Struthio camelus: one gene and its partners. The protein of the gene in region 2 interacts with the protein of the main gene of each other region in a pairwise test. Links are inferred from orthologs where the notes say so. Each region holds a gene or a part of one and is shown on either strand. Other genes may lie near its edges.

Evidence for each region. The genes of interacting proteins can lie anywhere in the genome.
Region 1: the proteins of BAG6 (region 2) and RNF126 interact in binary tests that used the Homo sapiens proteins (3 or more experiments, as listed by UniProt). The link is inferred for Struthio camelus from reciprocal best matches to the Homo sapiens genes BAG6 and RNF126.
Region 3: the proteins of BAG6 (region 2) and TAC1 interact in a two-hybrid assay, tested with the Homo sapiens proteins (2 studies listed by BioGRID and IntAct). The link is inferred for Struthio camelus from reciprocal best matches to the Homo sapiens genes BAG6 and TAC1.

What each region holds. Positions count from the first base shown.
Region 1 is NC_090967.1:7,561,599-7,571,684, forward strand, and holds the start of RNF126 (E3 ubiquitin-protein ligase RNF126), read left to right. Parts: upstream 1-5,188; 5' UTR 5,189-5,331; coding exon 5,332-5,406; intron 5,407-10,086. UniProt on the Homo sapiens protein: E3 ubiquitin-protein ligase that mediates ubiquitination oF target proteins. Depending on the associated E2 ligase, mediates 'Lys-27'-, 'Lys-29'-, 'Lys-48'- and/or 'Lys-63'-linked polyubiquitination of substrates.
Region 2 is NC_090977.1:57,752-68,125, reverse strand, and holds the start of BAG6 (large proline-rich protein BAG6), read left to right. Parts: upstream 1-6,262; 5' UTR 6,263-6,387; intron 6,388-7,931; 5' UTR 7,932-7,953; coding exon 7,954-8,028; intron 8,029-8,112; coding exon 8,113-8,230; intron 8,231-9,074; coding exon 9,075-9,265; intron 9,266-9,385; coding exon 9,386-9,439; intron 9,440-9,540; coding exon 9,541-9,839; intron 9,840-9,933; coding exon 9,934-10,063; intron 10,064-10,374. Other genes in the region: spliceosome RNA helicase DDX39B, read left to right, coding at 1,423-1,554, 2,479-2,588, 2,671-2,815, 2,899-3,046, 3,125-3,141. UniProt on the Homo sapiens protein: ATP-independent molecular chaperone preventing the aggregation of misfolded and hydrophobic patches-containing proteins.
Region 3 is NC_090943.1:29,672,892-29,683,398, reverse strand, and holds the start of TAC1 (protachykinin-1), read right to left. Parts: upstream 4,899-10,507; 5' UTR 4,759-4,898; intron 4,731-4,758; exon of another isoform or gene 4,684-4,730; intron 4,000-4,683; exon of another isoform or gene 3,948-3,999; 5' UTR 3,912-3,947; coding exon 3,789-3,911; intron 3,442-3,788; coding exon 3,345-3,441; intron 2,707-3,344; coding exon 2,683-2,706; intron 1,003-2,682; coding exon 949-1,002; intron 1-948. UniProt on the Homo sapiens protein: Tachykinins are active peptides which excite neurons, evoke behavioral responses, are potent vasodilators and secretagogues, and contract (directly or indirectly) many smooth muscles.

The sequences.
Region 1 (10,086 bases), on a different chromosome or scaffold from region 2:
CAACAACCTGCAAGAGGGACGTTTCGGCTACGAGCAGCGCCGCCGCCGACCGCCGCCTCGGCCGGGCCAGCCTGGCGGGGCCGGGGCGTCCCGCTCCCTCGGGGACCGGGTCCCCGGTGTGGGCACCGACGGGCAGAGCTGCCGCACGGCACCTCCCTCCCGCAGAGCCCCCGGCCGCCTGGCCAGCGCCCTTTCCGCACAAGGAGCCTCAGTGCTTACATAGCCCAGGCTTGCAGCTAGTAGAAAAACAAAACATGTTTTTCACATTAAAATTTCCCTTGAAAAACAATGGTTTAAATTAAGCGTAAGAAAAGAAAAGTGAGGAATCCAAAAAGCAACAACAACAACAACAAAAAAAAAAGGGAAATTTTTGGTGGAGCCCAAAAGCACTTTCCTGGGACCGAGAACTTCTCCCGCCGAGGCCCCGCGCTCCGGGCGCTCCCGGAGGCAGGCGGGCTGCCGCCGGCGTGGTGCGGACCGCGGCCGAGCGCCACCGCCGTCCCCGCCGCAGCAGCCCGCACGCGCGGCCCCAGGCCTGCGGCACGGCAGCGCAGCGCCGGGGAGGACGAGGTGGGGGGGTGCAAACCTTCTCATCTGTCTGCGAGCGAATTCAAAGGGAGACCGATTCAAATCCGCCGTGACATGACTGGCTCGGGGCTGGCAGACAATCCCTGCGGCGTGTGTAACAAACCTTGCCGCTTTCCTTTGAGTGGCCTCCAATTTATTAATTAAAATAGGCAATTATGTGCTATCTGGGGTGGAGGGGAGCGGGGAGACCAGCTGCACCAGTTATTCCCACTCGGCAGGAAGCGTGCTGGAAAGGCGCTCGTGCTTTCAAGGACCGGGAGGCAGAGCCTGGGAGGGAGCCCGCGCGCAGAGCTGCCCTCGCGTCCGCCTCGGGCCGGCGCGACGGGCCGGCAGAGGGGGGTTAATGCCTGGCATCACTTTAATTTAACAGCACAGGGCCCAGAGGCCAAGACGCCTCAGAAAACGACTTGCCAAAGTCGCATGGGAGGTTAGTAGCAGAGACGGAAACCGAACCCCAAAAAGTCTCCCGGGAATCTGCCGAGAGCGTTCGCTGCCCTCGGCCCCGGGAAGCAGGGATGAGGGAGGCTGGAAGCGGGAAGCCAGGTCTTTTTTAGGCTCTTGCTGCCCATCCATCCCACCGTGCTCACTGAGAGGGAACGTGAGCAAGAGACCCCGGGCTCCGGCAGAGCAGGGCGAGCGCAGCGCAGACAGGGAGGGAGCGCCACGGGGAACACGTCTGTGCAGTGTGATGTCTATGTGGAATAACATCTGCATGTCTGGGATTTATCTAAACACTGCAGATCTCATGTCAGCAAATCTAGGAGTCAGGAGAATTTATCCCGAGCTTTTGTTACTCCCTGCAGGGCACGCTTGCATGGGGAAGGCCCCGGCGATGGGGCTCCGCTGCCTGCTAACCACCTCCGCATAACGTAAACGGGACCCCACGCAGCTGGCAGGGCACCGCGGCGCTGGGCCGGCGCCACGGGGCGCGCCTGGCCGCACGGCGCTCCGGCTTCCCCGTCGCAGTGGGCGCTCGGGGCGCGCATGCACGCACACGCAGGGCCCCGCCGGCGGCCACCCGGCAGCTGCAGCCCGGGGCCCGCAGCCACCCCCCGCCAGCGGCCTGGCACGGTGGCATCGCCTGCATTAAGTAACGTCTGGGGACATGAGCTCATCGTTAACACCCACGGCCCGGGTGGATGCGAGTGGCAAGGGCGGCTGGCGGGCAGGAGCGGGGCCCCGGGAACGCGCTGCCGGCGAGGCGCTCCCTGCCCCGGGGCGGGCGGGCGCCGGGGGTCTTGGACGGCTCCCACGTGAAACTCCCGCCCGCTCCCCTCCTCCTGCCGGGGCTGGGAGATGCACCGGGTTGCCCAGCTTTGCTGCAACGCGGGCTCCCGCTCCGGCCAGCCTCTGCCCCCAGCCTCAGCCACCCACGGGCTCCTCTCCCTGAGCCCGGTCATGGGGCACAAGCATCGCCCTCCTGCGCTGGGGTCAAGCGGGATCATGACGCCCAGCTACCGGAGAAGCCTTTCAGCCCGTCCAGCCCCTTGGACAACGACAGGCTCCTGGTATTTTCTGCTGCCCTCGGCCAAAACCCTCCCTCCTTCCCCGCTGCTGTGGCTGAGCGGTGCTGGCGCTGCCGGCCCGGCTGCTGGGGGAGCAGGCTCTGCCTGGCGATGAATCGCTGCTAGCTCGGGAGGTGTCACCTCTTCGTCAGTCCTTTCTGAACAGGGTGCAGTTCGCGTCTTTCTGCAGCACCGTGGGAAAATCATCCCAGCCCCTGGCTTCTTCGGGTGACTCAAATTTGCTCCCGATCAGATCCAGGCTCCCTCTGAGCCTGGGCAGGCCGTGGAGAGCCGAGCACCAGCCCAAAACCCGATTCCCAGAGCTGCGGCAGAGACAGAGGTGCGTCCGCCCCAGGCGCGCCGTCGCGGATCAGCCTCGAGTCCCGCCGTGGAGCGGGATCGCAGGTGCCGCGAGAGCCCTCGTCTCCACGTGCGTTAGCGATCGCTGCCATTTGCATCCGAGCGCACGCGCTGCCCTTCGGGCGTCCGCACTTCCCGCGTCAGGGAATTCCACAGGGACAAAGTCAGGGAAGCCAGATCTCTCCCTCCTCATTCCACATCCATTTGATCAAGTGGCAACTTGTCTTCAGACCATGAAACAGAGCAAGGAGAAACGAGTGCAGTGCACGGCCTCAGCGTCAGAGGGAACTTCCTTCGGGGTGTGAAACGCTCCCTCTGGGGCTGTGGGCTCCGCTCTGCGGGCAGCCGCGCGGCTCCGTCTGGCTTTCGGATTGAACCACGTCCAACTGTCTAGACCCACCTCCTGCAGAAAAAAAGAGTTGCAGATTTCCTCATTGGTCACAAATCGTTGCTAACATTTCTTATCAACAGCTGCATCATTGATCAGTTACTAAACAACTGCAAATCTGTCCTGCAGTTGAAATTTCTACACAATTACTAAACAGCTCCAGAAACTGCTGACCAGTTACCAAGCCGTTATACGACCATTTCCTATCAGTAGCCAGGTTAAAGCTTCATAACCCCAGCCCTTGCTTCTTGTTTTTACACCTGTACTTATCGATGTGGAGCGAGTAAACCCGCAGAAGAGGGTTTTCCTGGGCTTTGCTTTTCAGAGTCCAGAGTTGCTTCACAAAACGCCTCCTCAGCCTGCTCTCATCCCCTAAAAAAAAAAGCAAGAAAAGCAAACCTGGGCCGAAGATGCCATCTGCTGGAAGCAGGGCTGGTGCAGTGGGTTGGCGGGCATCCTGCAACCCCGCAACCTTGCAACCCCCAAAACTCTGCAACCCCACCACCTTGCAAACCCCCAAACCCTGCAACCCTGCAAACCCCACATCCCTGCAACCCCACAACCTCACAGACCACATTGGCCCCACCAAAGCGAGCACGTGTCGCAGTGCTTGCACTGCCCAAGGGTTTTCTGGATCCCTGGTTTATTGCTTAGACAGGGGCCCCAAGAAAGGCAGCCAAGGAAGAAACAATCCCCCAAAATAAAACTTCACTTTTCAGCTTTCCTGAAACATCTTCAGCTCTTGCCAATCCCTTGGCAAAAGCAAGGTGGAGATCTGATAGGAAGCACCATTTGAGAGATCTTTAGTGAAATGGAAAATTCATGCCCTGTTTTGGTTATTGCTATTTTTTTAAGCAATTCTTGAATTTTCACTGAAAAAACATTTATTTCTTCATTTTGGGGATTGCAACCTCTCCCCTCCCGGAAGTGAGGCCACTGAGCTTGGCCGCTCTGTGAAGACCCAGCCCTCTTCCCTCTCCTAGAAAGAGCCATTCCAGTGTCATGTTACAGCATGCCAGACAGGCAATGTTGGGGGAAACTCGCTTCAGAGCTGCCCCAGAAATATTTTGGGGTTTATCGGTTAAAGAAACAGGGATCTGAGTATGCAATTAATATTTCTTTCCTCCTTCTGCGAAGAATACTTGGCACAAGGGACTCCCGAGCCCAAGAGACACAGACCAAGAGGGACAAGCTCTTCCTCGCAGGGACCCGATGCACAGCAACCGCTCGATAAATTGTCTTTGCAAAACATCAGTAACTGCAGCATGACATTTTCCTCCCTGAGCTTCCTGACCCCAGGCGCTGGCCATCGCTCAAATGGCAGCACCGGATTCAGTTTCAGGCCAGCATCTGCCATTTCCATGGAAACGGAAAAGCAGACGGGTGAAAGCGGACAAACAGGCTGGAACCGACGCTCCGTGCGGCCAGGACCCGGCACCCTCGCCAGGACACCCGTCGCTGGCACGGCGTGGGATTTGCACCTGCTCCGGCTGGGAAGCCGGGCGGAAAGGGCGTCCGGCACAGAGCACGCCGGTGCGCGCCGCTGGCAGCCTCGTTGCGTGCGTGCTGATCCTGCCACAACCGGGCTGCGAGGGGCATGGAAAAACCAGGCAACTGCCCAGAGCGCTCCGACTCTACCCAGGCAAGATCCCCCCGGGAGGAGAGGGCGAGGAACGCGCAGGGAGAGCCGGGGCTCGGCGACGCCGGACTGCCCTCGGCTGCGCAGTCACGCGCCAGGCGCCGCGGCCTTCCCTGGGAAGCTTCGGAGGCCGCTTTATCTCCCGGGTGACTCCACGAAGTCGGGCAGAGCTTCACGCCCCGGGCGCCAGCGCCTTCCCGCGCCAGCGAGGGCGACGGCCCAAGCGGTCCCCGAATGGATTGAGCAAGCTCGGCCTGCCTGCAAACCTCGCCCCGAAACGGGGCTCGAGCCGGAGCGCCCCGCGGCCGGCAGGTCCCGGCCCGCCTGCCCCCTCCCCTCGGAGGGCCCCGGGCAGCGGCTCCAGGCCCCGCGGCCTACCAGGTGGGACCGGGCCTGGCCCCCATGGGAGGCCGAGGGAGGGGGGCCCCCGACCCCCATGGGGTGGGGGGCAGCCCCAGACCCACACCACGGTGCACAGGGACCCCACCAGGGCCCCACTGCCATGAGAACTTGGGGGGGGGGGGGCGCGCGCTATGGGGCACCACCAGCAACAGGCCCCACACGCACAGAAAATGGCGACGGCACACAGCCCACCCCCGGGCCCGCCCCTTATATACCCCCACTGACCCCGCCCCCAGACAGCCCCGCCCATCGCCCCAGCCCCGCCCCTCCTCCACGCCACGCCTCCCCGGAGCGGCTCCCCCCTCCCTTCCCCCCGCTGCCCTCCCCCGCCCCTTCTTTTCCGCGTTTCCCTCTGCGTGGGCCCTTTGCGTCCCTGCTCGGCCGCCGTCGCCTGCGCCGTGCGTCACCGGGCGGGGCGGGGCGGGGCGGCGCGGGGGGGGGGTGGGAAGATGGCGGAGGCTTCCCCGCAGCCGGGACGGTTCTTCTGTCACTGCTGCTCGGCCGAGATCGCCCCGCGCCTGCCCGTGAGTGGGGACGGGGGCCTGGCCGAGGCCGGCGCGGCGCTGGGGGGCCGGGACCGGGCTGGGGGCGAGGGCTGGGCACGGGCCCGGCCGTTCGGGCACGTGGGGGTGAGGCCTGAGGGGGCGGGGGGCGGCTTGGGGAGGGGCTGGGCCCGCGGGGCGGGGGGGGGTCCTGCGTGTGAGAGGACGAGGGGGCTCCGAGGGGGCGGGGGGGTCAGGGGTGGGGGTCTGTTTGTGAGGGGGGCTCGGGTGGGCGTTCAGAGGGGGTGGGAGCTCAGGAGGGGGGTCTGTGTGGGGGGGGCTCAGGGGTGAGGGTTCAGAGGGGGTGGGAGCTCAGGAGGGGGTCTGTGTGTGAGGGGTCTCAGGGGTGGGGGTTCAGGGGGGGAGCTCAGGAGGGGGTCTGTGTGTGGGGGGGCTCAGGGGTGGGGGTTCAGAGGGGGTGGGAGCTCAGGAGGGGGGTCTGTGTGTGGGGGGTCTCAGGGGTGGGGGTTCAGGGGGGGAGCTCAGGAGGGGGGTCTGTGTGTGAGGGGTCTCAGGGGTGGGGGTTCAGAGGAGATGGGAGCTCAGGAGGGGGGTCTGTGTGTGGGGGGGCTCAGGGGTGGGGGTTCAGAGGGGGTGGGAGCACAGGAGGGGGTCTATGTGAGGGGGGCTCAGGGGTGGGGGTTCAGAGGGAGTGGGAGCTCAGGAGGGGGTCTGTGTGTGGGGGGTCTCGGGGTGGGGGTTCAGAGGGTGTGGGAGCTCAGGAGGGGGTCTGTGTGTGAGGGGTCTCAGGGGTGAGGGTTCAGAGGGGGTGGGAGCACAGGAGGGGGTCTATGTGAGGGGGGCTCAGGGGTGGGGGTTCAGAGGGAGTGGGAGCTCAGGAGGGGGTCTGTGTGTGGGGGGTCTCGGGGTGGGGGTTCAGAGGGTGTGGGAGCTCAGGAGGGGGTCTGTGTGTGAGGGGTCTCAGGGGTGAGGGTTCAGAGGGGGTGGGAGCTCAGGAGGGGGGTCTGTGTGTGAGGGGTCTCAGGGGTGGGGGTTCAGAGGGTGTGGGAGCTCAGGAGGGGGTCTGTGTGTGGGGGGTCTCGGGTGAGGGTTCAGAGGGAGTGGGAGCTCAGGAGGGAGTCTGTGTGGGGGGGGTCTCAGGGGTGGGGGTTCGGGGGGGAGCTCAGGAGGGGGGTCTGTGTGTGAGGGGTCTCAGGGGTGGGGGTTCAGAGGGGGTGGGAGCTCAGGAGGGGGGTCTGTGTGTGGGGGGTCTCGGGGTGAGGATTCAGAGGGGGTGGGAGCTCAGGAGGGGGTCTGTGTGTGAGGGGGGCTCAGGGGTGAGGGTTCAGAGGGGGTGGGAGCTCAGGAGGGGGGTCTGTGTGTGCAGGGGCTTGGGTGGGGTAGGGGTTATGGGGCAGGGGTTCAGAGAGTTTGGGGGGCTCTGAGTGTGAGGGGGACTTGGGGTGGTGGCTCTGGTGCGTAGTCCTCAGCGAGGGAAGAGGGGAGCCCCGGAGTGAGGCAAGATGAGGCATGTGGCAGTTAGGGAACAGGACGGAGTTGGGAGGAGGCTGTGGGGGGCTGCCTGGAGGTAGCAGGGGGCTGTGGGGCCCCCTCGGGCCAAAGAAAAGCAGCTGGTGAAGCCAGAGACGGGGTGTGCTGGAGGAGCGCGGGGAAGCACGGCAGTGGGTGTCCTCTTCCTCTTCCTGATGTAGAGGAAGGTGGCGCGGAGGTTCCTAGGCAGCAGGGAGGTCTGGATGGAGAGAGCGGGAAGGGCTTTGCAGGGAGCAGGGCAGTGGGGTGGTGGGTGCTGCTGGGGGGGGTCCCACCAGGCCTGTTTGTTGGGGGGCTGCGGTGTTTTACTTAGTGTGTGCTGTAAAGATATCTGTTATAAAGAGAGATGGACTAACCAAAAGCTGTCTTAAAGCAAATTTGGTAGGATGCTCTCCTGAGGTAATCCCTTCTAGCAGCCTTTCCCCATCCAAGTCCATGGGCCTTTCTCATCCAGTGCATCTCCAACTGCCTGAAAGGGTTGTCTTTGGGACAATTCTCCAAACTACGAAAACACCATTATCCCACTTCTTTGTGTGGAATGAACTGAATCTCTGTGGGATAATGGGAGGGTTTCTTTTTTTGTCATCTTTTCAGTATGGTTTAAACATGAGAAAAGCTTCGTGGGTGATAATTGCTAAGACACAGGAGTGGGCAAATACACAAGTGATACGTACACGGTATTTGCACTAACTAACGCAGAAGCATTCGTAGGCTAGGAGCAGTACTTGAACAGGTGTGCTTTAATCACTGAGTCAAAACCTTGCTGCCTACTGGTAAAGACTCAGATTTTCCTGGTAAGTGTAGAAAAGGAACACTGGCTGTTGGAAAGTAACTGATTGTGTTGATCATGACTAGATTTTCTGTTGCTAGTCTAACAAATGTTGTAAGATGTTAAATCTGATTATGAAGTTAACAAGCCCTGCCTTTGTTTATACAGAGTCTTTATTTGTCCTGAGAAATTTGTTGGCACCTTATTAGAATAAAGAATAACTCTTTTTTCTATTTTAACATTTATTTCATTTTTAAAGTCAAGCGATAGCTTAACTGTGAGTTAAAGATGTCTCTCTGATGGAATGATTGATTAGCCTTCACTGTGAATTTGTTTTTGTGACATGATATTTTTCCTTTCGCCTCCTTGATCAGTTTTACTGGTTAGGGTGAAGGCAGGCCTTGATAGTAACAACTTGTATTTACCATCTACCAACATCTAACACGTTGTATTTAAGTATGAGGACAAAACTGTTAATATGCTCCTGCTAAATAAATAGACTGGCTTGAGAAAGTGACTGAGGAGCTGAAGCCTGAATCCCAGGAACACTGGTCACTTATCTGTGTTTAAACACCCTCTCTTATTTCACCCTTGTTTAAACACCGTGCTGGTTACACCAGCAGAGCACATCTGGTAGCAAATGTACTGAACTGTGTTAGGGAGCAGACAACTTTTGTTGTAGACTCAGGTTTAGTTAATTGATAGTCAATGAACTTGTTTAGGATCCAAGTTAGTTTGGTTTCCTCCTGCTGACTGCAGACTGAGTTACTAAATTGGCGGTGTCATGGCATATGCTGCAGAAGAAGTGATTCAAACAGTCTGAGAAACAGCAAACTTTGACATTTGTGCTGTTCCAGCTGCAAAAGAATTTGCTGATCACTATGTTCAGAGTTGTCTGTAAGCAAAAAAAGTCTCCCTTACATAGGAGAGTTGAGAGGAGTAAATCACTTCTTTCTCTCAAGTGTGGCTAGCATAATAATTTGTCCCAGTGGTGTGCTGCTAAAATGTTCAGTAAAATAGTAAGGGCTTATTTCAAAAGCAGAGGAAATTGATTTCACTTTCTGTAATCTACACAGCTGTTCTTGTGTGCCAATAGCCATCTCTGAGAGGAGTTTGGATGGTGTAGAAATGTTCTTGAAATCAAACATTGTGTAAATTCTGTAGACCTAGTTATTTCACAACCGCAGATCTAAAGAGTTCTGCGTGGAAGAGGGAGTGGCAGCTTCCATAAGTCCTTTTCTAGGACGAATAACTGGATGGTGCTCTGCTAATTCCTTATCTTCCTGGGCAGGCAGGGACAGTATCAAGTGGATCACCAGTGCTGCTGTGCTTTGCTTGGTTCTCATCATTTTTTTCTGCATTGGCTTGAAGAGTGATCCAGATATTTTATCAAAATAAACTCACGTGACTTCCATCCTGTCCTCTTTCCAAGAATCCATTAAGTTTGTTTCAGGGCATATTACAATCTTGAACATAGAAATAGTAAAGGGAACCAGTGTGGTGGTGGTGGGTTGTTTTGGTTTTGTTGTGGTGGTTTTGTTTTTCTTAGAAGCTCTTAAACCTCTATCATACTGAGTTTAGCTTTATCAGAATTGGGTCCTTTGTCTTGTCCAGGGTTTGGGGCAGTTATGTTTTGCCCGTACTAACTGTTCCACCTTAACTTCGGTTCAAGTTAGGTACAGGATACGTTACTTCCTGTTCCAGCTCTGCTGTGCTGTATGGCATTATTTCTTGTCAAGCGTAATGACCACATTCTGCTGAAAAGCGAAGTAATTTCCTTTCGTGTTCTTAAGCGTTCTGAGTTTCTTCTCACTTTGATGGTGTGATCATGAAGTATAAATTATTCACTAACACTGAGAATTTGAGAAAAGCAACAGTAGCAAACTCTTGAGGATTCCTGCATCTGAATACACAGACTGTTTATTATAAAATATACAGTCTTCAGTATTAAAAGCTAGAAATATGGCAGTAGCTTTCTGTAATGAATGTTGAGCGTGGGAGTATAAAATTCTGGTATTCTGTGTTGCAGAATGACCCTCTTGTGGCTCCTTAAAGTCTGTGTGGTGTGAATCCCAGACTTTATTAGTAATAACTTTCCATTTAATTCTTCCTAAGTGACAGTGACGCTGTAATTAGCCCATATTGTAATTCCCTGTTTGTTGCTGTTTCATTAGGAGAGTCTGGACTCTTTTTGGGGGGGTAGCGTAGGGTGCAAACACCCAGCTATTTAAAAAATAGTATTTGAGATTTATCTTTCTGGGAAAGCGGGTGGTTTTGCTTTCATTTCACCCAGAACAACATCCAAAGTTACCTAATGCTTTGTCTATACTGGAGATTAATTAGCGTTATCCAAGTCTTTCCAAAGCCATGTTCCAAACAGGCTCTGGCTTAATGATTTGCCT
Region 2 (10,374 bases):
GCGCTGTCCCAGAGTGCAGCGGGACGTAGCTGTGGGTCAGCGCTGTCCCAGAGTGCAGCGGGACGTAGCTGTGGGTCAGCGGTGTCCCAGAGTGCAGCGGGACGTAGCTGTGGGTCAGCGGTGTCCCAGAGTGCAGCGGGACGTAGCTGTGGGTCAGTGGTGTCCCAGAGTGCAGCGGGACGTAGCTGTGGGTCAGCGCTGTCCCAGAGTGCAGCGGGGCGCAGCTGTGGGTCAGCGCTGTCCCAGGGTGCAGCGGGGCGCAGGTGTGGGGCAGCGCTGTCCCAGGGTGCAGCGGGGCGCAGGTGTGGGTCAGTGGTGTCCCAGAGTGCAGCGGGACGTAGCTGTGGGTCAGTGGTGTCCCAGAGTGCAGCGGGACGTAGCTGTGGGTCAGTGGTGTCCCAGAGTGCAGCGGGACGTAGCTGTGGGTCAGTGGTGTCCCAGAGTGCAGCGGGACGTAGCTGTGGGTCAGTGGTGTCCCAGGGTGCAGCGGGACGTAGCTGTGGGTCAGTGGTGTCCCAGAGTGCAGCGGGACGTAGCTGTGGGTCAGTGCTGTCCCAGAGTGCAGCGGGACGTAGCTGTGGGTCAGTGGTGTCCCAGAGTGCAGCGGGGCGCAGGTGTGGGTCAGCGCTGTCCCAGAGTGCAGCGGGACGTAGCTGTGGGTCAGCGGTGTCCCAGAGTGCAGCGGGACGTAGCTGTGGGTCAGTGCTGTCCCAGGGTGCAGCGGGACGTAGCTGTGGGTCAGTGGTGTCCCAGGGTGCAGCGGGACGTAGCTGTGGGTCAGTGGTGTCCCAGAGTGCAGCGGGACGTAGCTGTGGGTCAGTGCTGTCCCAGAGTGCAGCGGGACGTAGCTGTGGGTCAGTGCTGTCCCAGAGTGCAGCGGGACGTAGCTGTGGGTCAGCGCTGTCCCAGAGTGCAGCGGGACGTAGCTGTGGGTCAGCGCTGTCCCAGAGTGCAGCGGGACGTAGCTGTGGGTCAGTGCTGTCCCAGAGTGCAGCGGGACGTAGCTGTGGGTCAGCGCTGTCCCAGAGTGCAGCGGGACGTAGCTGTGGGTCAGCGCTGTCCCAGGGTGCAGCGGGACGTAGCTGTGGGTCAGTGCTGTCCCAGAGTGCAGCGGGGCGCAGCTGTGGGTCAGCGCTGTCCCAGAGTGCAGCGGGACGTAGCTGTGGGTCAGCGGTGTCCCAGAGTGCAGCGGGACGTAGCTGTGGGTCAGCGCTGTCCCAGAGTGCAGCGGGACGTAGCTGTGGGTCAGCGCTGTCCCAGAGTGCAGCGGGGCGTAGCTGTGGGTCAGCGGTGTCACAGAGTGCAGCGGGGCGCAGGTGTGGGGCAGCGCTGTCCCGGGGCGCGGGTGTGGGGCAGGCCCCGGTGGGGGCGCGGCGGGGGGCCCGGCCGGCCGGCGGGGCGCTCAGCCCGCTCTCCCCCCAGCCCATGGAGATCTTCGTGGACGACGAGACCAAGCTGACGCTGCACGGGCTGCAGCAGTACTACGTCAAGCTCAAGGACAACGAGAAGAACCGCAAGCTCTTCGACCTGCTCGACGTCCTCGAGTTCAACCAGGTGCCGCGGCCGGGGGGCTCCGGGGAGGGACCCCGCGCCCGGGGGGCTCCGGGGAAGGACCCTGGAGCATCTCGGGGGGCTCTGGGGGGACCGCGGAGCCTGAGAGAGCTTCAGGGGCTTCAGGAAGGGACCCCAGGGTGTCCTGGAGAGTCTGGGGGGGCTCCAGAGAGAGACAGTGACGTCCGGGGGGGTCTCGGGGGGGTCCAGGGAGGGGTCCTGATGTCCATGGGCAGGTTGGGGGTCTCCAAGGAGGGACCCGGGCGTCTGAGGAGGGTTTCGGGGCTCCAGGAAGGGGTGCTGGGGTCCAGGAGGGGTGTCAGGGGCTGGGGGGACTCCGGGGGGGACTGCAGAGCGTGAGGGATCTTCAGGGGCTTCAAGAAGGGACCCCAGGGTGTCCTGGAGAGTTTCGGGGGGCTCCAGAGAGAGACTGTGATGTCCAGGGGGGTCTCGGGGGCTCCAGAGAGGGGTCCCGATGTCCAGGGGGGTCTCGGGGGTCTCCAGGGAGGGACCGTGATGTCCGGGGGGGTCTCGGGGGGCTCCAGGGAGGGGTCCTGATGTCCAGGGGGGTCTCGGGGGGCTCCAGAGAGGGGTCCCGATGTCCAGGGGGGTCTCAGGGGGGCTCCAGGGAGGGACCTCGGTGTCCAGGGGGGTCTTGGGGGGCTCCAGGGAGGGACCTCGGTGTCCAGGGGTGGGTTGGGGGGCTCCAGGGACGGGTCCCGATGTCCAGGGGGGTCTCGGGGGGCTCCAGGGAGGGACCCGGGCGTCTGAGGAGGGTTTCGGGGCCCTGGGAAGGGGTCTGGGAGTCCAGGAGGGGTGTCAGGCTGGGGGGGACCCCGAGGTCCGCGGGGGGGGGGGGGGGGCCGTCTCTGGGGACGGGCCCCGGCGTCCGGGACCCCCAAGTGACCCCCCGCCCGCCCCCCGCAGGTGGTGATCTTCGTGAAGTCGGTGCAGCGCTGCATCGCCCTGGCGCAGCTGCTGGTGGAGCAGAACTTCCCGGCCATCGCCATCCACCGCGGCATGCCCCAGGAGGAGCGGTGCGCCGGGGGGCCGGGGGGGCCGGGGGGGGCCCGGGGGGGGGCCCGGCCTCCCTGACACCCCCCGCCCCGTCCCCCCCAGGCTCTCGCGGTACCAGCAGTTCAAGGACTTCCAGCGCCGCATCCTGGTGGCCACCAACCTCTTCGGGCGGGGGATGGACATCGAGCGGGTCAACATCGCCTTCAACTACGACATGCCCGAGGACTCGGACACCTACCTGCACCGGGTGGGTGCCGGGGCCGGGCGGGGGCCGGGCGGGGGGCCGGGCCGGGCGGGGGGCTGACGGCGGCGCCGCCTCCCGTCGCGCAGGTGGCCCGGGCCGGGCGCTTCGGCACCAAGGGCTTGGCCATCACCTTCGTGTCGGACGAGAACGACGCCAAGATCCTCAACGACGTGCAGGACCGCTTCGAGGTGAACATCAGCGAGCTGCCCGACGAGATCGACATCTCCTCCTACAGTGAGCGGGGGGCCGGGCGGGGGGCCGGGCGGGGGGCCGGGCCGGGGCCGCCCTCACCCCGCTCTCCCCCCCCTCCAGTCGAGCAGACCCGATAAGCTGCCCGGCGCCCGCCGCCCTCCCGCCCGGTTCGCGTCTCCTCGTTCCTCCCCTCTTCCGACCGTCCGGCTGCCGAGGGAGCCCCCGAAACCGCCGACGCCTGCCCGGAGGGGGGCCCCCGAAACCGCCGCCCTGGCCGGGAGGGGGCCCCCGAAACCGCCGCCGCCCGGACGCAAGAGGAAGCGGGGAGGCCCCGCCCCGCCAGCCGCCCCCCCCCACGGCTGCCGCCGCCTCCCCGCGGCGCCTCCCCCGCCCGGACCCGGGGGGTTTTATAGAAAAAAGGCCTGAAAAGACAAAAAAAAAGAGAAAAAGCCCGAGCTCGGCGGGGGGCGGGGGCTCCGGAGGGCCCCTCCCCCCCGGGCTCCCCTCAGCTGTACAATTTCTGGTTTTTTTGGTAATAAAGTCGCCCGGCCTCGCCGGGTCCCTGGACGCCGCTGTCTGCCTCGGGGGCGGGGCCGCGGGAGGGGCGGGGCCGGCGGGGCGGGGCTTAGCAGGGCGGGGGTTGCGGTGGGGGCGGGGTCGCGGGAGGGGGCGGGGCTGAGGGAGGCGGGGTCCGCGCAGGCGGGCGGGGAGCGAAGCCGCGGCGGCCATCTTGCGCGCGGGCAGCGCCGCCATCTTTGAGGCGGGCGGGCCGAGGGGGCGGGGCCTCGGCGCCGCCGCTATAAAGGGCCCCGCGGGGGCGGCGCGCGGCCTCTTCCCGCCGGACGCCGGGGAGCCGCGGGCAGGTGGGGGGCGCCCGGACGCCTGGGCCCCGCTGTTGGGGGTGGGGGGGAGCCGGGACGCCTGGGCCCCGTTGTGGTGGGGGGGGGGGAGCCGGGACGCCTGGGCCCCGTGGAGGGGGGGCGCCCGGACGCCTGGGCCCCGTTGTTGGGGGGGGGGGGAGCCGGGACGCCTTGGCCCCGTTGTTGGGGGGGGGGGGGAGCCGGGACGCCTGGGCCCCGTTGTGGTGGGGGGGGGGGAGCCGGGACGCCTGGGCCCCGTTGTTGGGGGTGGGGGGGGGGAGCCGGGACGCCTGGGCCCCGTTGTTGTGGTGGGGGGGAGCCGGGACGCCTGGGCCCCGTTGTTTGGGGGGAGGGCGGGACGCCTGGGCCCCGTTGTTGGGGGGGGGGGGAGCCGGGACGCCTGGGCCCCGTTGTTTGGGGGGGGCGGGGAGCCGGGACGCCTGGGCCCCGTTGTTGTGGGGGGGGGGGGAGCCGGGACGCCTGGGCCCCGTTGTGGTGGGGGGGGGGAGCCAGGACGCCTGGGCCCCGTTGTTGGGGGGGGGAGCCGGGACGCCTGGGCCCCTGCCCCTTGGGGCGTCGCCATGATGATCCCCTAGACTAGAGTCTCCGACCCCCCTGACGACCCCCCCAGCCTGAGCGACGCCCCCTCCGTCCCTCCCCCTCCCCGGACGCCTCAGTCCCTCCCCCCCCCCCCGTTCACCCCTCTCTCTCTCCCTCCCGCAGGTCGGAGCCCCCGGACGCCTGGGCCCCCCCGGCTGCGCCATGGGGTGAGGATTCCCCCCCCCCCCCGATCCCCGCGGGTCCGGGGCGTCGCTGTGATGATCCCCCCAGACTAGAGTCTCTGACCCCCCCTGACGACCCCCCCAGCCTGAGCGACGCCCCCTCCCTCCCGCCCCCCCGCCGGACGCCTGGGTCCCTCCCGTTCGCTAACACCCCCCTTCCCCCCCCCCCCGTGTGTCTCGCAGGAGCCCGAGGCCCGTCGGCACCGGCATGACGCGGTGAGTGACCCCCCCCCAACCGGGCCCCCCCCGGGGCCCCCCGGCGATGAGGAACCCGCACCGAGGCCGATCCCGCCGTGACGACCCCTCGCAGCGCCCTGAGCCGAGGCGGCCCCGGGACCCCCCCGTTAACCCCCATTACTCCCCCCTGTTACCCCCCTGGTGACCCCCCCCGGGACCCCCCTGTTCCCCCCCGGGATGCCCCCATTACCCCTTCCAGGACCCCCTTGTTCCCCCCCCCCGAGACCCCCTGTTACCTCCCTTGGGAACCTCCCCATCCCCCCCCCCGGGACCCCCCCGTTAACCCCCATTACCCCCCCCCGGGACCCCCCTGTTCCCCCCCCGGGATGCCCCCATTACCCCTTCCAGGACCCCCTTGTTCCCCCCCCCCAAGACCCCCTGTTACCTCCCTTGGGAACCTCCCCATCCCCCCCCCGTTACCCCCCCGGGACCCCCTTGTTCCCCCCCCCCTTGACGCTTCTCTTTCCCCCCCCCCCAGCCGCGGCCCGGAGCCTGCGAGGGACAAACGGCGCCCGTGTCGCAGGGGGGAGGGGAGCAGCTGGAATTGGGGCAAATAAAGCTGATTCTGGGTCTGGATGCGGCCTGGTGGTGTCTCTTTTCGGACGGGGGGGCGGGGGATGCTCTGTTTACATAGCAACAGGGGGGGTCGCGCGGAGGTGGTGGGGGGGGGTTCCCGCCTTTTTTGTCCCCCTTCCCGACCGGTGGGGGTGGCCATGTCGGGTGTGGGCAGCGCCGCTACCGGCCGCCATCTTGGGTGAGGGCACCCCCGCCCCCCGGCCTGTTTATTGTCGGGGCTCCTCAAACCGGGGGGCAGCGCCCCTTCCCCCGCCCCGGGACCCCTCCTTTGTTTTTATTTAAATAAACACGGATTTGGGTGAGAGCTGGCCCCGTCAGTCGGGGGGGTTGTGCTCCTGTAACACAACGGGGGCCTCGGCTGCTCTGCCCCCTCCCCCCCGGGCACAACATGGGCCCTGCCGCGGGGTGGGGGGGGCACCAGCGCCATCTTTACGCTCGGGCCTACCGCAACACACGGGGGAGGGGGCGGGAAACGGGCCCGGCCCGCAGCCAAGATGGCGGCGCCCTCAGCCAAGATGGCCGCTCTGCCCAGGGCGCAATCGCCAAGATGGCGGCCGCCGCGGCTTCACTCCCTCACCCGCAGCGCGCATGCGCGAAGCAGCGAGGCCCCCCCCACCCCCGTCCCGGCTGGGGTGGCGGCGGCGGACGCCTGCTGAGCGGCGCAGGCGCGGCGCGGGCAGCCCGGCGCGGCGGCGGGGTCCTGCGCGGCGGCGCGCATGCGCGGCAGAGCGCGGCCGGGCGGCGCGGCCGGAGGCGCACGGAGGAGCCGCTCCGCACCGAGCGCGGCCCCGCGGCCCCGGCCCGGCCCCGGCGGCGGCTCCGCGCCCGCCCCAGGGCGCGCCCAGCCCCCCCGGAAGCCGACCCGCTCCCCCCCCCGCCTGCCCCGGAAGCGGATCGCGCACCGAGCCGGAAGCGACTGCCCGCGGAGGCAAGGCGCCGCCGACCGGCGGGGGGTGAGGGGCGGCGGGCGGGGGTCAGGAGCGCCGGCCTGCCGGTTTGCGGTGGGAGTCGGGGCCGCGGGGGTCAGGGGTCGGGGTGGGGTGTAGGCCGCGGGGTCAGAGGTCGAGGGTCAGCGTGGGGGTGGCGGGGTCAGGGTCGGGGTGGGGTCAGAGGCTGGGGGTCGCGGGGTCGGGGGTCAGGGCAAGCGTTGACCTCTGGGGTCGGGGGGTCAGAGGTCAGAGTGAGGGCTGACCCCCAAGGGTCAGGGGTCAGGGTGAGGGGTGACCCCGGGGGTCAGGGGCCGGGGGTCGGGGGCCAGGGCGAGGGCTGACCCCGGGGGTCAGGGGCCGGGGGTCGGGGGTGAGGGCGAGGGGTGACCCCGGGGGCCAGGGGCTGGGGATCAGGGGCCAGGGCGAGGGCTGACCCCGGGGGTCAGGGGTCGGGGGTCGGGGGCCAGGGCGAGGGCTGACCCCGGGGGTCAGGGGCTGGGGGTCGGGGGCTAGGGCGAGGGCTGACCCCGGGGGTCAGGGGCCGGGGGTCGGGGGTGAGGGCGAGGGCTGACCCCGGGGGTCAGGGGTCGGGGGCCAGGGCGAGGGCTGACCCCGGGGGTCAGGGGCCGGGGGTCGGGGGCCAGGGCGAGGGCTGACCCCGGGGGCCAGGGGCTGGGGATCAGGGGCCAGGGCGAGGGGTGACGCCGGGGGTCAGGGGCTGGGGGTCGGGGGTGAGGGCGAGGGGTGACCCCGGGGGCCAGGGGCTGGGGATCAGGGGCCAGGGCGAGGGGTGACGCCGGGGGTCAGGGGCCGGGGGTCGGGGGTGAGGGCGAGGGGTGACCCCGGGGGTCAGGGGTCGGGGGCCAGGGCGAGGGCTGACCCCGGGGGTCAGGGGCTGGGGATCAGGGGCCAGGGCGAGGGGTGACCCCGGGGGTCAGGGGCTGGGGGTCGGGGGTGAGGGCGAGGGGTGACCCCGGGGGTCAGGGGCTGGGGGTCGGGGGCCAGGGCGAGGGGTGACGCCGGGGGTCAGGGGCTGGGGGTCGGGGGTGAGGGCGAGGGGTGACCCCGGGGGTCAGGGGTCGGGGGCCAGGGCGAGGGCTGACCCCGGGGGTCGGGGGCCGGGGGTCGGGGGCCAGGGCGAGGGCTGACCCCGGGGGTCAGGGGTGAGGGCGAGGTGTGACCCCGGGGGTCAGGGGTGAGGGCGAGGGGTGACGCCGGGGGTCGGGGGTGAGGGCGAGGGGTGACGCCGGGGGTCAGGGGCTGGGGGTCAGGGGTGAGGGCGAGGGGTGACCCCGGGGGTCAGGGGTGAGGGCGAGGGGTGACGCCGGGGGTCGGGGGTGAGGGCGAGGGCTGACCCTGGGGGTCAGGGGCCGGGGGTCGGGGGCCAGGGCGAGGGCTGACCCCGGGGGTCAGGGGCTGGGGGTCAGGGGTGAGGGCGAGGGGTGACCCCGGGGGTCGGGGGTGAGGGCGAGGGCTGACCCCGGGGGTCGGGGGCTGGGGGTCGGGGGCCAGGGCGAGGGCTGACCCCGGGGGCCGGGGTCAGGGGTCAGCGCTGCGGCGGCGCCATGGCGGAGGAGCGGCTGGAGGTGCTGGTGAAGACGTTGGACTCGCAGACCCGGAGCTTCCACGTGGAGCCGGAGGTGAGGCCGAGCCGGGGGGTCCCCGCATCCCCGCCCCCCCCCCCGGCCCCCCCGTGACCCCCCGCCGCCGCCGCCCTCCCCCAGATCACGGTGCGGGCGTTCAAGGAGCACATCGCCGCCGCCGTCTCCATCCCCGCCGAGAAGCAGCGGCTCATTTACCAGGGCCGGGTGCTGCAGGACGACAAGAAGCTGCAGGAATACAGTGAGGGGGCGGCGGGGGGGGGCCGGGCAGCACCTGGGGGGCGGGTTGAGTTTGGGGACCCCTTGGGCAGGGGTTGGGGCATTTGAGGGGGTTTGGGGGTATTTGGGGAGCCCTGGGGTGAATTGGGGGGTTTAGGGGCCCCTTGGGCAGGGGTTGGGGCATTTGAGGGGGTTTGGGGGTATTTGGGGAGCCCTGGGGAGAGTTGGGGGGGTTTAGGGGCCCCTTGGGCAGGAGCTGGGGCATTTGAGAGGATTTGGGGGTTTTTGGGGAGCCCTGGGGCAAATTGGGGGGTTTAGGGGCCCCTTGGGCAGGAGCTGGGGCATTTGAGGGGGTTTGGGGGCATTTGGGGAGCGCTGGGGGGAGCTAGGGGGGTTTAGGGGCTCCTGGGGCAGCATTGGGGTCATTTGAGGGCAGTTTTGGGGGGGTTTGCAGAGCTGCGGGGTTAGTTAGGGACTTCAGGAGCTTCTTGGGTGGTAGTTGGGGCATTTTATCGTGGTTTTGGGGGTCTTGGGGGAGTTCTGGAGTTTTCTTACAAGAGCTTAGAAGTTTTTGGGGGTAATTGGGGTAGTTTGTGGGAGTTTGGTGGCTCTTAGGAGCGATTTGAGGTTATTTAGAAGAGTTTAGGAGCCATCTAAGCAGCAGTTTGGGGGTGGATGGTCGTTTATGGGGGGTTGGGGGACCCTTGGGCAGCATTGAGGGAGTTTGAGGGCAGTTTTGGGGGGTTTGGGGAGCCTTAGAGTTAGTGGGGGGGTTGGGGGCTCTTCAGGCAGCATTTGGGGGGGGTGGGGAGCTGCGGGGCAGGGGTTTGGCTGACCCTCTCCCCCCCCGTCCTTTCTTCCCCCAGATGTGGGGGGCAAAGTGATCCACCTGGTGGAGCGGGCGCCCCCCCAGGCCCAGTCGCCCTCGGGGGGGGGCCCCTCGGGGCTGGGCTCCTCCTCGGCCCCCCACAACGGGGGGGGCCCCCGGGGGCCGGGCGGCCCCGGCCACGACCGCAACGCCAACAGCTACGTCATGGTGGGGACCTTCAACCTGCCGGTGAGCCGGGGGCGCCGGGGGGGCTTCGGGGGTCTTCTAGCAGACGGGGGGGGTCGCAGCGCTGATTTTTGCTAATTTGGGGGTTTTTTTTTCTGATTTATTCCGCCGCGGGGGTGGCAGATTGACGGCTCGTCAGTGGACGTGCACATCAACATGGACCAGGCCCCGATCCAGGTGGGCGCGGGGCGGCGGGGGGGGGCCGCAGCGGGGCGAGGGGGGGCCGAGCCCCTCTCGCGGCCCCCCGCCGCGGCCCCTGACCCCCGGCCGCCCCGCAGAGCGAGCCCCGCATGCGCCTGGTGGTGGCCCAGCACATGCTGCGCGACATCCAGGGCATCCTGAACCGCCTGGAGGTGAGCGGACCCCCCCTGAACCCCCCTCCCCGCAGCCCCCGGCCCCCCCCCCTCACCACCGCGTCCCCCCCGCCGCAGGGCAGCAGCGGGGCCCCGTCGCCCGCCGAGGGGCCGCCCGAGGAGCCCCCCGCCGCCCCCGAGCCGCCCGCCGAGCCGCCCGAGCCGCCCGCCGAGCCGCCGCCGCCCGGCCCCGAGCCGCCGCCGGCCCCCGAGGCCGCCCCCAAGTAAGGGGCGGGGGGGGGGGACACGCCGCCGCCGTCCCGAGCGCCGCGGGGGGCCGTTCTCAGCCCCCCGCCCCCGTGTCCGTCCCCCCCGCAGCCACCCGGCGCCGGGCGAGTACCTGGAGGTGCTGCTGGAGCTGCGGCGGCTGGAGGGGCGGCTGGAGCCCTTCCGGCAGCGCTGCCAGGAGATCCTGGGGGCCGCCGGCTCCGCCGACTACAACAACAACGTGAGCCGCGGGGAGGGGGGCTGCGTCCGTCCCCCCCCGTCCCGGGGCGATGGGCTGGTCCCAATCGGTCCTTGGGCACGCCCTCCCCCCCCAATCCCAGGGATGGTGCAGTCCGGGTCCCCCCTGTCTCCTTATGGGGGTTGGTGCAGCGTGGGTCCCCCCCGTTTCGTCCCCACAGTGGCACAGTCTACTTTGGTTCCCCCCCCCCCCCAAATGGTACGGTCTGGGGAGGGGGGACGGGGGGGGGGGAGATGGGTGATACCATGTGGGGGGGGGTTCGGTCCCTTTTGGGGGGCTCCAGGCAATACCAC
Region 3 (10,507 bases), on a different chromosome or scaffold from region 2:
GAACAGGGTTTAATTGAAAATAAAAGTTACTGACAACCATAATTGCAGAATATAGATCACAGCATGTATCCACATAATATAAAGGTGTCAGCTAGTAATTTAACTTTTATCATTCATTTAACAAAACAGTGAGAATTATTTCAGAGACATGAAATAGGCATTAGGTTTTTTTTTTTAATCCCTTTTCTAGGGAATTAACTGACACTTTATGGTTGACTATGAGAGATTTCCTCATTACTACCCTACAGCACAGGAAAGCTAGAGCAACTGGCAGTTTGGAATTACCCTTAGGGGTTGCTCATAGGAAGGAGGAGGAATCTGTCTGTATACAGATTGTATGGAAAAATAAAATAAGTTCACAGTATCCATTCAAAGCTTAAAATGCTGTTGGTTATTTCTAAGTAAAATTAAAAGCTGCAAGGGCCTGGGAGTGTGTCTGAACTAACAATGAGGCGATGTTAATGGCCGATCTCTGCTCTTTCAGCTCCTGTTTCAACTTCATTAAAAATAAAGATCCACTGAAAGGGTGAGAAGGCACCTTTAGCTGAGGAGATCTGGATTTGAATCACAAGTTTAAATGAACATTATGTTTTAAGCCTCTACATTTCTCCTGATATGCCAAGAAATATTTTTCTCTTTAATAGCATTTTGCTGATTGGAAGAACATAAATACCAGTGAGGATAGCGAGAGTAAGGAAAGTGCCCTAGGAAATCTCATCTGATTTTGCCTGCACTTTGGCAGCTCAAACCAGGCTGATCATCACAAGCATTAGAGCGAACTGCACCCTGAAATATCCTGATTAAGAAAATACATCCTGGACCCTTTTCAGAGAACTCTGGGTCTACACCATACAAAGACTGCTTCATCCATCCAGTGGGAGAGAACAAAGAGGCAACAGAATTAAGCTGCTGTATATTACCATGTACCAGATTTAGTCATATACATACCAGAATTTAAAGATCTTTTGCCCATAAGTCCAACAAAGGAGTCTGTTTTATGCCCTGAAAAAATATAATTGGAGTTGTTTTAATACATTTTAAATAGGCAGGCTTTTAAGACAGCGTGTTCTCATGAGGAAAGACGACACAGACACAGCCTGTTCATCTCACATACTAATTTTTCACACCACTCTCAGAAGACAGAGAATGAACAGTCCTGTCTCATCACTGGGGTAGGTCAGACCAAGGCACAGGCCAGTTAGTGGAATTCTTCCCATTGGCTTGAATAGACATTTTGTTGATTTTGTCTTTTAACCACAATAGAAAAACAATGGCCAAAAACTGATTCTCATTCCTCTCCCAGTGTGGCTAATTGACACTACAATTCCTATTGACTTCAGCACACACCTAAGAAGGCCATATCTTAGCATAGCTTGCATCCGTATGATACACCTACTCTACCTGTCGGTGGTTTATTTTGTTATGTGGATGAAAATCCTCATCACAGGCCAGGCAAGAGAGCCCTTATTTGAGAGGAGGCCAATGGGACTCTACGTCTGGACATGACTGAGCTGGACAGTCTGGGTCTATTTTTGGAATATTTACGAGTTCAAATATTACCATCCTGTCCCATTATTACTCCTCGAGGCACTGGTTATGTAGAGGATAAATTACTCCAAGGTTTGGTATGAAGCATGTATCAGATGTAGTGATAGCTAAGGACCAAAAAGGAGCTGTTCTTCTTTTTCCAGGCTGACTTGAGGTAAATTTAGAAATTTCTCTTTGGAAAGAATTTTGCTTGGCTAATGCATCTACAAAACAAGATGAATGATTTTTAGACCTCACAGGCATTAACTTTAGAGCTGAAGCAGTTTAAGAAGGCTATATATATGTGTGTATATATATATATATATTTTTTTTTTTTTTTACTTTAGTCAGCAGTTATTTGGCATGAGCTTTGGCTGGGATTCTCTTTCATTTTCCTTCAAATAAATAATCCTAGTGATAAAATCTAGTGATTAACAGAGAACACTGGGACATGTATTGACCTCTTGGGACAGCTGAGGTCTCACAAAATACAAGATCAATTTTTGCTTATTAAAAAATCTTCTAGGTCCTGTCTAAGCATCTTCAGATAATTTCAGAGAGTAAAACTCTTTGTCACTGTATGCAACAAGATAATACCACGTTGCTGATACCATCTTCCACTTGGTATTATACAGAAACAAAGCAAGACATGCTTATTAATGATGCAAGATATGCGTGTTTATATGTCAATCAGCCTCTGCTGCGATGGGGGTCTGATTCACAGTCAGACATCACTAAGATCACAGCTGCAGTATCTCACATGTGTATCCATGTCATCACTTCTCAGAGATTTGGGAATTCACTATTCTAATTTTCCAGCTTTTGCTGCCTTAATTTTCTCACTCTGAGTCTGGCAGTAAGCCTGCCTTGCCTATGAGAAAGGTTTGCAGAATGCACCCCTAGAGAAATAAGAGCTGCAACATTCACACACTAATGTGGATTGAAATCTGAAAGCTTGTGGAGGTTCAGATTAGGTACAAGCTTAAGTCCTTATTGCTGGCTACTCTATCTTTTGACAGAATACTCCTCTACCGCCTATGCTGCCGGCCCTTAGCTGAACTCATTTATATTCTAAACGATCCACTAAAATATACAATTCTCTATATGAATATCTTTTAATAGTTACTTAAGATGTTGGGGATTTTTTAAACTTACTTTTGTGAGAGATCTGGCCATATCCTGCATGGAAAAGAGGAGGAAAGAAAAAGAAAGGAAAGAGTTATTGAAAAAGGACTGGCATACACATATGCTGTTTCTGTGATCCTTTGAAATATCTAATACAGAAACTACCCTATGCATATTCAATGTAGGGAAAATTAAGGTGACAAATTACCACAGTATTTATTCTTGAATAGACTAGAAAGCCTCATTTCAATTAAAATGACACACCTTAGAGCTGTTTAGATCCAAGTTACTCTGACCGATTCTCAGTTTGGTAAACACTTAGAATTAGAAAAGATGGTGATAATTGTACACAGCATTACATGGCAGAAATCATACTACACGTGCTCAGACAATTTAGTGGCACGTATGCCAACCTACAGATTATTGTGATTTTTTTACTGGTATTTATTTACACGCTACAATTAGTTTGCACTTATAACTTTACTGCGCAGTTTTACTCTTGGCTATTTTCAATCGATCGTATTGTCTTCCAGGAAACTTGGGGTGGGGGAGAATCGCAACTTCGGAGCAAGATCTACCTAACGACGCGGGCGACATGCTATGACGCTGGGGTTGCTACTGGGAAAAGCGACGTTTGGAGCAGCGAGAGGCCGCGCGCAGGGAGGTGCCCCCCAAGCCCGTGCCCCGCTCACCGGCATCCCGTTTGCCCATGAGGCCGAAGAACTGCTGGGGCCGGGGTCTCCGGGCGATCCTCTGCAGGAAGTGCTCGAAGGGCAGCGGCAGCTCCTCCTGCGGGCGACCAGCGGGCGGTGCTCAGCGCAGCCCCGCGCCGACGGGGCGCCCCGCGGGCTGCCCAGCCCCAGCCCCGGCCCCGGCCCCAGCCCCAGCCCCGGCCCCGCGCCGACGGGGCGCCCCGCGGGCTGCCCAGCCCCGGCCCCGGCCCCAGCCCCAGCCCCGGCCCCGCGCCGACGGGGCGCCCCGCGGGCTGCCCAGCCCCGGCCCCGGCCCCAGCCCCAGCCCCGGCCCCGCGCCGACGGGGCGCCCCGCGGGCTGCCCAGCCCCGGCCCCGGCCCCAGCCCCAGCCCCGGCCCCGCGCCGACGGGGCGCCCCGCGGGCTGCCCGGCCCCGGCGCTCACCTTGCCCTGCTCGCCCTCGGACCAGTCGGACCAGTAGTTGAGGTCATCGGTGGCGCCGATCTCCTCGGCCAGCACCTGCGCCGAGGCCAGGAGGAGCACGGCGAAAGCCAGCGGCAGTCTCATCGCCGCCTCGACGTCCTGCGGACGGGCTGCGGCCACCTGCGGATGGGGTTTGGGGGGGGAGGGGGGGCAAGGGGCGAAGCGCCGTCCCCTGCCGGGGGACGGGGGACACGGCGCTCAGGGGCTGCGCGCAGCCCCCGCACACGCACGCACCCACAGCTACGCACGCACCTGGAGGTGCGCACCCTCGCACATGCAGGTATGCACACGCATCTAGCTATACACGCACCCCTTCGCACCGACAGGTACATATGCACCTAGCTGTACACACCCTCACACATACCTATATACATACGCCTCTAGTTATACGCACAGCCGCCCCCTATGCATACATGCACATATAGACGCATGCAGCTCCCCCTCACACCTATGGATCCTTACACATGTCGATATATACACCCTCACGCATAGAGATCCACACCCATCTAGATATGCACACACATCCAGGTTACCCCCCTCCCCGATACCTACTCATCTACTTATGCACACTATACATACAGCGACACCCATACCGGGTGTGCACACCTGCATATGGATACCTCTCTCCACACACGTACGGATACACACACGCCCTCACACGCCCAGATACACGCATCCGTCTAGACAGAGGCACACGCAGACACGCACACAAAGGCACCCTCACACGGAGAGGCGCACGCTCCGGGATACACAAACACACACAGAGGCACCCCCCGACACACACACATATAGGGGCACGCACACGTACAGACCCCCCCACACACATACACACGCATGTGAGTACACCCGCACACACCTTCACCCACCGACACGCGCGCACCCCCCTCCGGCCAAGCGCCCCGGCGGCGCGCACGGGCGCGGGCACACGCACCTAGCGCGGCGGGCGGGGCGGGCGCTGCTCTCCGTGCGCATTGGCCGTCGGCGGGCGAGCGCCCCACTTTATATACCTGGAGACGGGGAGGGCCGAGGGAGCCTCATTTGCCTAAACGCAATTACCCCCGGTTTTATCGTGCCAGCCACGTGACAGCGCCCGCCCCGGCGGGCAACCCCCGCCTCCAGCCCCCCGCTCCCGGGGAGGCGCCGCGGCATCCCGGTCCCGGGGAGGGGAGGGGGGGCGAGGTGTCCCTGCTTCCCCCACCCCCCGCGGTGGCAGCCCGGCTTCGGGGGGGGGGGCCTCCCCCCGCCCCTTCCCCCGCGGTCGCCCCGTCCGGCCGCCGCTGCGCCCTCCCCGCCGCAGCCGCCCCGTCCCCGCCGCGGGCCCCGGCGGGCGGCTGCGGCCGCCGCGTTTCCCTTCTGCCCCCCGCCCCGCTTTGGCTGGGGAAGCGCTGCCCGCTCGCAGGGAGGTGCTGCGGGGGGGGGGGGCGGGGGGCGGGGACGGCAAGTGGCACCGAGCTGCGCCGAGGTGGGGGCGGGAGGGGGGCGCCGCCAGGGAAAGGCGCGGGCGCGGCGGCGGCGGGCTCCGTGTCTCTGGGCGAGCTGTCTTAAGCTTAACCAGGCTTGCTGCCCGCTGCGTGAGGCCAGGAGCCAGCGCTGGCCCGGCTCGCGGGGAAGCTCCGCGTGGCACCGCGGATGAGCGCTGCGAGGCGAGGGGCACCTGGCCTGGTCTGTGCGGCGTTTGGGAGCGTGTGAGGGTGGGACGTGAGGCGGCGAGCACGGAGCCAAGCTCTCTGGTGGGGCAAATGCCTTTCTTGGAAATGAGCCAGTCTCCAGCAGTGAATCACAACCTTTCTTCTTCCCCTGCGACAGCTTTGTGTTATTGCTGGCATTCAGCTCGGATAACCGTTCAGGCACCTTTCCATTTCACACTCGTTCCATCTTATTAGTCCGAGGTTACTTGTGCAGGAAGCTTCTCAGTTGACCTTGGTGGTCCCGCAGCACCTGTGCTGTCAGGGTGCACAGTACTACTCCCTAGGTAAGGCACTTAGTGCAGAGTTTGGCAGGAGCTATTAGCTTTCCTTTGAGAAAGAAGAGATTCCTCAGGAGCTGGAATCAGCTCTCTAGCACCATCCCTCTGCTTGCTCCAGGATGCAACCATTAAGGTGGCCTTGCTGGCCATGGTAAACCTCCACTTCAGGGGTAGTTCATTGGCATATACCTGCTGATCCTATAGGACCCAGCACTTGTTTGCTAGCTAAAGGCATTATTAATTCCAGGTTTCCCTCTTAAACAAAAATGATTCTTGGTCCCCAGTGTATTCCCCAAGAACCAGCCAGGGAGGAGACTCTTCCAGACTCTCGGGGATGTTCACACTTTCTGCTTTAGGACTCTAAAGGCAGGTGAGAAAGGTTGTGGCCCAATCCTTTGAAGACCCTTCTGAAGTCAACACAGGCTCCTCGAGAAGGTGGTTCAGAACAAAATTATTAGTTTGGAGGAGTCTGCCTAGGGGTTCCACACAGCCCAAACACCTAATTTAGGCACCTCTGTTTAGATTCCTAGGGTGGGTGGTGTGAATGCTCCTCTTTATGCCTGTCAACAAGCTGGCAGAAGTGACGTTTAGTAGCACCGGGGAACTTCAGCCATCGGATTTTCGTGCTGTAGCTTTGCAGCATTCCTTTGATATGTGAACTTTGAAGACCCTCGAAGGAAAATTGTTTTCTCGTGTTCTTTCATTACACCATTTCTATTTACCATAATGACGACAAAGCAAAAGGTCAGATATATCAAACTAGGCATGCCAATTTTAGGCAAGTCAATAAAACTCATGATTTACAGAAATACTGAGAACTCCCAGCTTCCTCTGAAGTCAATTCTATCATCCAGGAGTCTAGGCTATGATAAGCATGATAAGTTTGAACTGAAATGTCCTTTTTGCTCCATAATTCAGCATTTTATCAACATGGCTGTAGTCATAGCTTGACCTATGAAATTACAGGGGTTTTCTTTTTAAGAGAGAGCAAGAGAGGAAAAATTAAAAGACGTGTTTCAGTCCTTTCTTGCCTTTAGCAACTTTAATGAATTCAAGCACTTTATCTCAGACTTATCTAATACTTTGGGTGGGAGTAAAAAAATGACTAATCGGGCAAGCTCACTTTTCTTTCTCGGTTTCTAAAATAAATTGACTGCTTAACCTTTCTCTGACCTGCAATAGTGGGACATTACACTATAGACTTTTTGGGAAGTGAGCAGCTTTCATGGCTAACTAGCAAAATTGGTTCTTAAGAAGACTTTCTGAGTCCGTCTTTCACATGGAGAGGAAGTAGCAGGCTCAGATAAGGGAAGTACACCTTGACTCGAAGTGGGTGAACCTTCTGCCTTTGTGCTGCCTAGTTCCTGCCCTGTGGATGCTTCAGAGCATGGTAAAATGCTATCCACACCTGCAAAAAGCCCTCACTTCTGCCAAAAACTGCTCCTGCCTCGCACACAAAAGTAAATGGCTTTTCAGGATGTTAGTGGTTTTGTATCTGGGAGTTACTTTGCAAAGAGGTATATGAGAGAGTGTGTGGGCAAAGGTGTCCCCGTTGAATAAGCTTGCCCTGTCCACACTCAGTGCACAGATCCTGCTCTCCAGTTGCAGTTAAGACTAATATGAAGATTTTTGTTCAGGAGCCGACAGTTCATTAGATCCAAGGTGATCTATGGCAGGGTTAAACGTTTCCTGTGGAAGTGACAGAGAAAGAAGTTTTTGGAGTTATTATCCAGGCGTTTCCCTAATCGAGTTTAGGAACTGGATTAAAGGCACTCGTTGTGGCTTGAATCACAGCCCTAATGGAAAACTATCTGGGAAGCAATTGGCTACGAAACACACCTCAGAGAATTGCTTTTCAGATGGTTTTAAAATGATACAGCCTGTGTGATGGTCCTTGTGAAATGTTTATTTGAATTTTATGATGATTTGGTTTTCAGTAGAAAGTCCAATAGTTTCATGATGAGACACATGGGCTGCTACACCATTATCAAGTGACTCTTATATCATCAACAAACAGCTAATATACTCTGGGAAAATAGCAAATTAAAATGTGACTATGTAAGATTTTGTGAATGCAAATCTGAATTATTCAAGTATATAAAATTTCAGAGCACCAGAGATAAAAAGAATGCATCTGGCATTGTTTGTCAATAGCTCTATGCTGTATAACTGTATGCTAGATAATTAAATATAGAGCCTAATTCTCATATATATTGAGATGTCTTTTCATCCCTTCACCTGGGTAATGGTATCTACATATAACAGAGACTCAGTCTCGGAACAGTTATTTTATATAGCTTCCAAAATTAGAGATGAGACGCAGTCTATGTAAAGACATCTGTAAAAAGACCATGTTTCAGCTCTGATTTCTGTCCTGACAAGAACATTGGAAGTGCTCTTATCAGAAGATGCAACTTTGTCATCATTGGAAAGAGAAACCATGATTGATGACCTCTTAAATTTCTTACAGATATGTGTCTCCGGGGTGAATAGAATGATTTCGATCGCAGATGAGGAGTCTTTGTAACACGGTGATTGATTTTGACATTGTAAGATAATTTATTGGCAAAACATCCCAGTGGCATTAGGAAAATTAGCAGAACTCACAACAACCGTTTCTAAGTTAGCGTGGCCAGATTACTGAATTACTCTTTCACCTGTATTTCAAATTTTACATTACAGATTTGTCAGCTTTAATTTCTTCCTTTAACGTTTCCAGAGCACATGCCTGTACATATTAATGCATGTAAACCATATGTGATAACTATGCCTCTGCCTGTCTCTCTGTCTATCTTTCAATAGAGTGAGAGATTATCTTTGTGCTTGTAAAGTCAGACACTACAGGGTCAATTCTATTACTTGCGGTAACAGACAGACAAGAATCACTGTAGCGAGATCTGCTTGCTACAGGGATGCCCTTTTCTGGGCAGGTACAGATGGAAGAAAGGCTAATCTTGCACTTACTCAGTCATCTCACAGTAACTGGAAATGTAACGTTGGTCATTGGTTCTAATTTCAGAAAGACAAGGTAATAGTCTTCCCCACTCCTCTGTTCCTTGTCATCTTTTACTCTCCCATCACCGTTCTCCATCCTGCCAAGCTGCCAATATCACTTGCATCTGACTTAGAGGGAGCATCATTAACCCTGACGCAAGGCACATTTTTGTCCAGCTAGGTTAGACATTCAGTTTGTTAGTGAGACAACCTGAAATGAAAATAAATTGCAGGGTATTAAAATACTGAATGTAAACATTGCAGTCAAGGCTCTCTTCCCAGACTAGCAGCGCTAGAGGCAATCGACAGAGAGAATAAATGTAGTCCGGCAGAGCTCCTTAGGGGAGAGAGAATGCATGTCCTTGGAGGAGAAAAACATTTACCCTAAGCTATTTGGTGATCTCAGAGAGAGAGCAAAGCCATCCCAAAGCACCTCTATGTGTGCCAGAGCCAGGGGGGAGCTGGTGAGGAGAAGCAGGGAGGGTAGCTCTGGTTGCCCAGGGATGCCTGCTCTTCTCTTCTCAGGGGCTGACCATCTGCCAAAGCCTCTGTAGCATTTGTAGGTTGATATTCATTCAGCCAGAACAAAATCAAAAAGATTTGGACATGCAGCTACTTGGAGATGCCTTGTCATAACTCGCCAAACAGTTTTGATAAGTAGCATGGAAGATGCAGTATTTACTGATTTTTAGTCACAAAGCCAACAGTGAACGACATTTCAACAGCACACTTTAGTAGCAAATGCTGCAGGGTAGTCTCCTCACGGAGACGGTGTCTGTCTCTCTAAACCATCAATCTAGTTTTTCCACATTTGTCTCCCCCAGACAGAAAGGCCAGGGGCAGCCACAAAGTGTGGCACAGAATATTCTCAGAAGCTCAAGCAGACTGTGAACATCATTGGTCTGAGCTCAACCAGAAAAACTGCAACGTGAAATCTCCTCACAATGCAAAGGACTCAGAGCAGCCAACGAGCAGACACTTCAGATTAACTGAGTTCATTGCTCTTGGAAGAAAAGTGCTGACATTGCTTTGTTCTGATGCAAGCAGAGACCCTGTTTGTCTCCTGAATACTTATTAGATTACAAACATATATATAAATCTGTTGATTTGATTCAGATTGAACTTTGCAGGTCTGGAGCTCTCACTCTTTGTTTTTTTGCCTCGGTTGTCTAAGTTTGTTTGAAAACTACAGTGATGTGGAAGGATAACGGGAAGACTGGAACTTACTTTATCAGCAGCTGAAGGCAACAAGCTGATTTTTTATCTAGTCCTACCACATTTTCAGTAAAACTTTTCTGTAGGAAGGACAATCTTTTCTCAGAAAGCCCTCAAAGACTAGGCTTACTAAATTTTGTGGATGGGTCATCAAAGCCAGTCCCTTAGCCTGCTCTCAGCACCCAGGTGATTATCCATTGTATCCTACCATCAGCATCTGCCGTCCTTAGGGCTGCTGCCAGCTGTCTCAGGTCACGGAGACATCAATGTGGAGGAGGACGAAGGGGAGGAGGGTTAACCAGCCCCGGTCCCAGGCCACAACAAATGCAGCAGCTGTTCTTGGTCATCTGGGAAACCACGGGCAGTTTCACTCACTTTCTTCCACCTTTTTCGTCCCTCTAAAGCGTGCCACAGCAACACTGATTTCCTTGGCACAAGGCTGGGTAGCCTTGCCTGCCTCCCTACTTCCAGACCTTCTCCAACAGAGAGTGTAAGGGTTATTTTG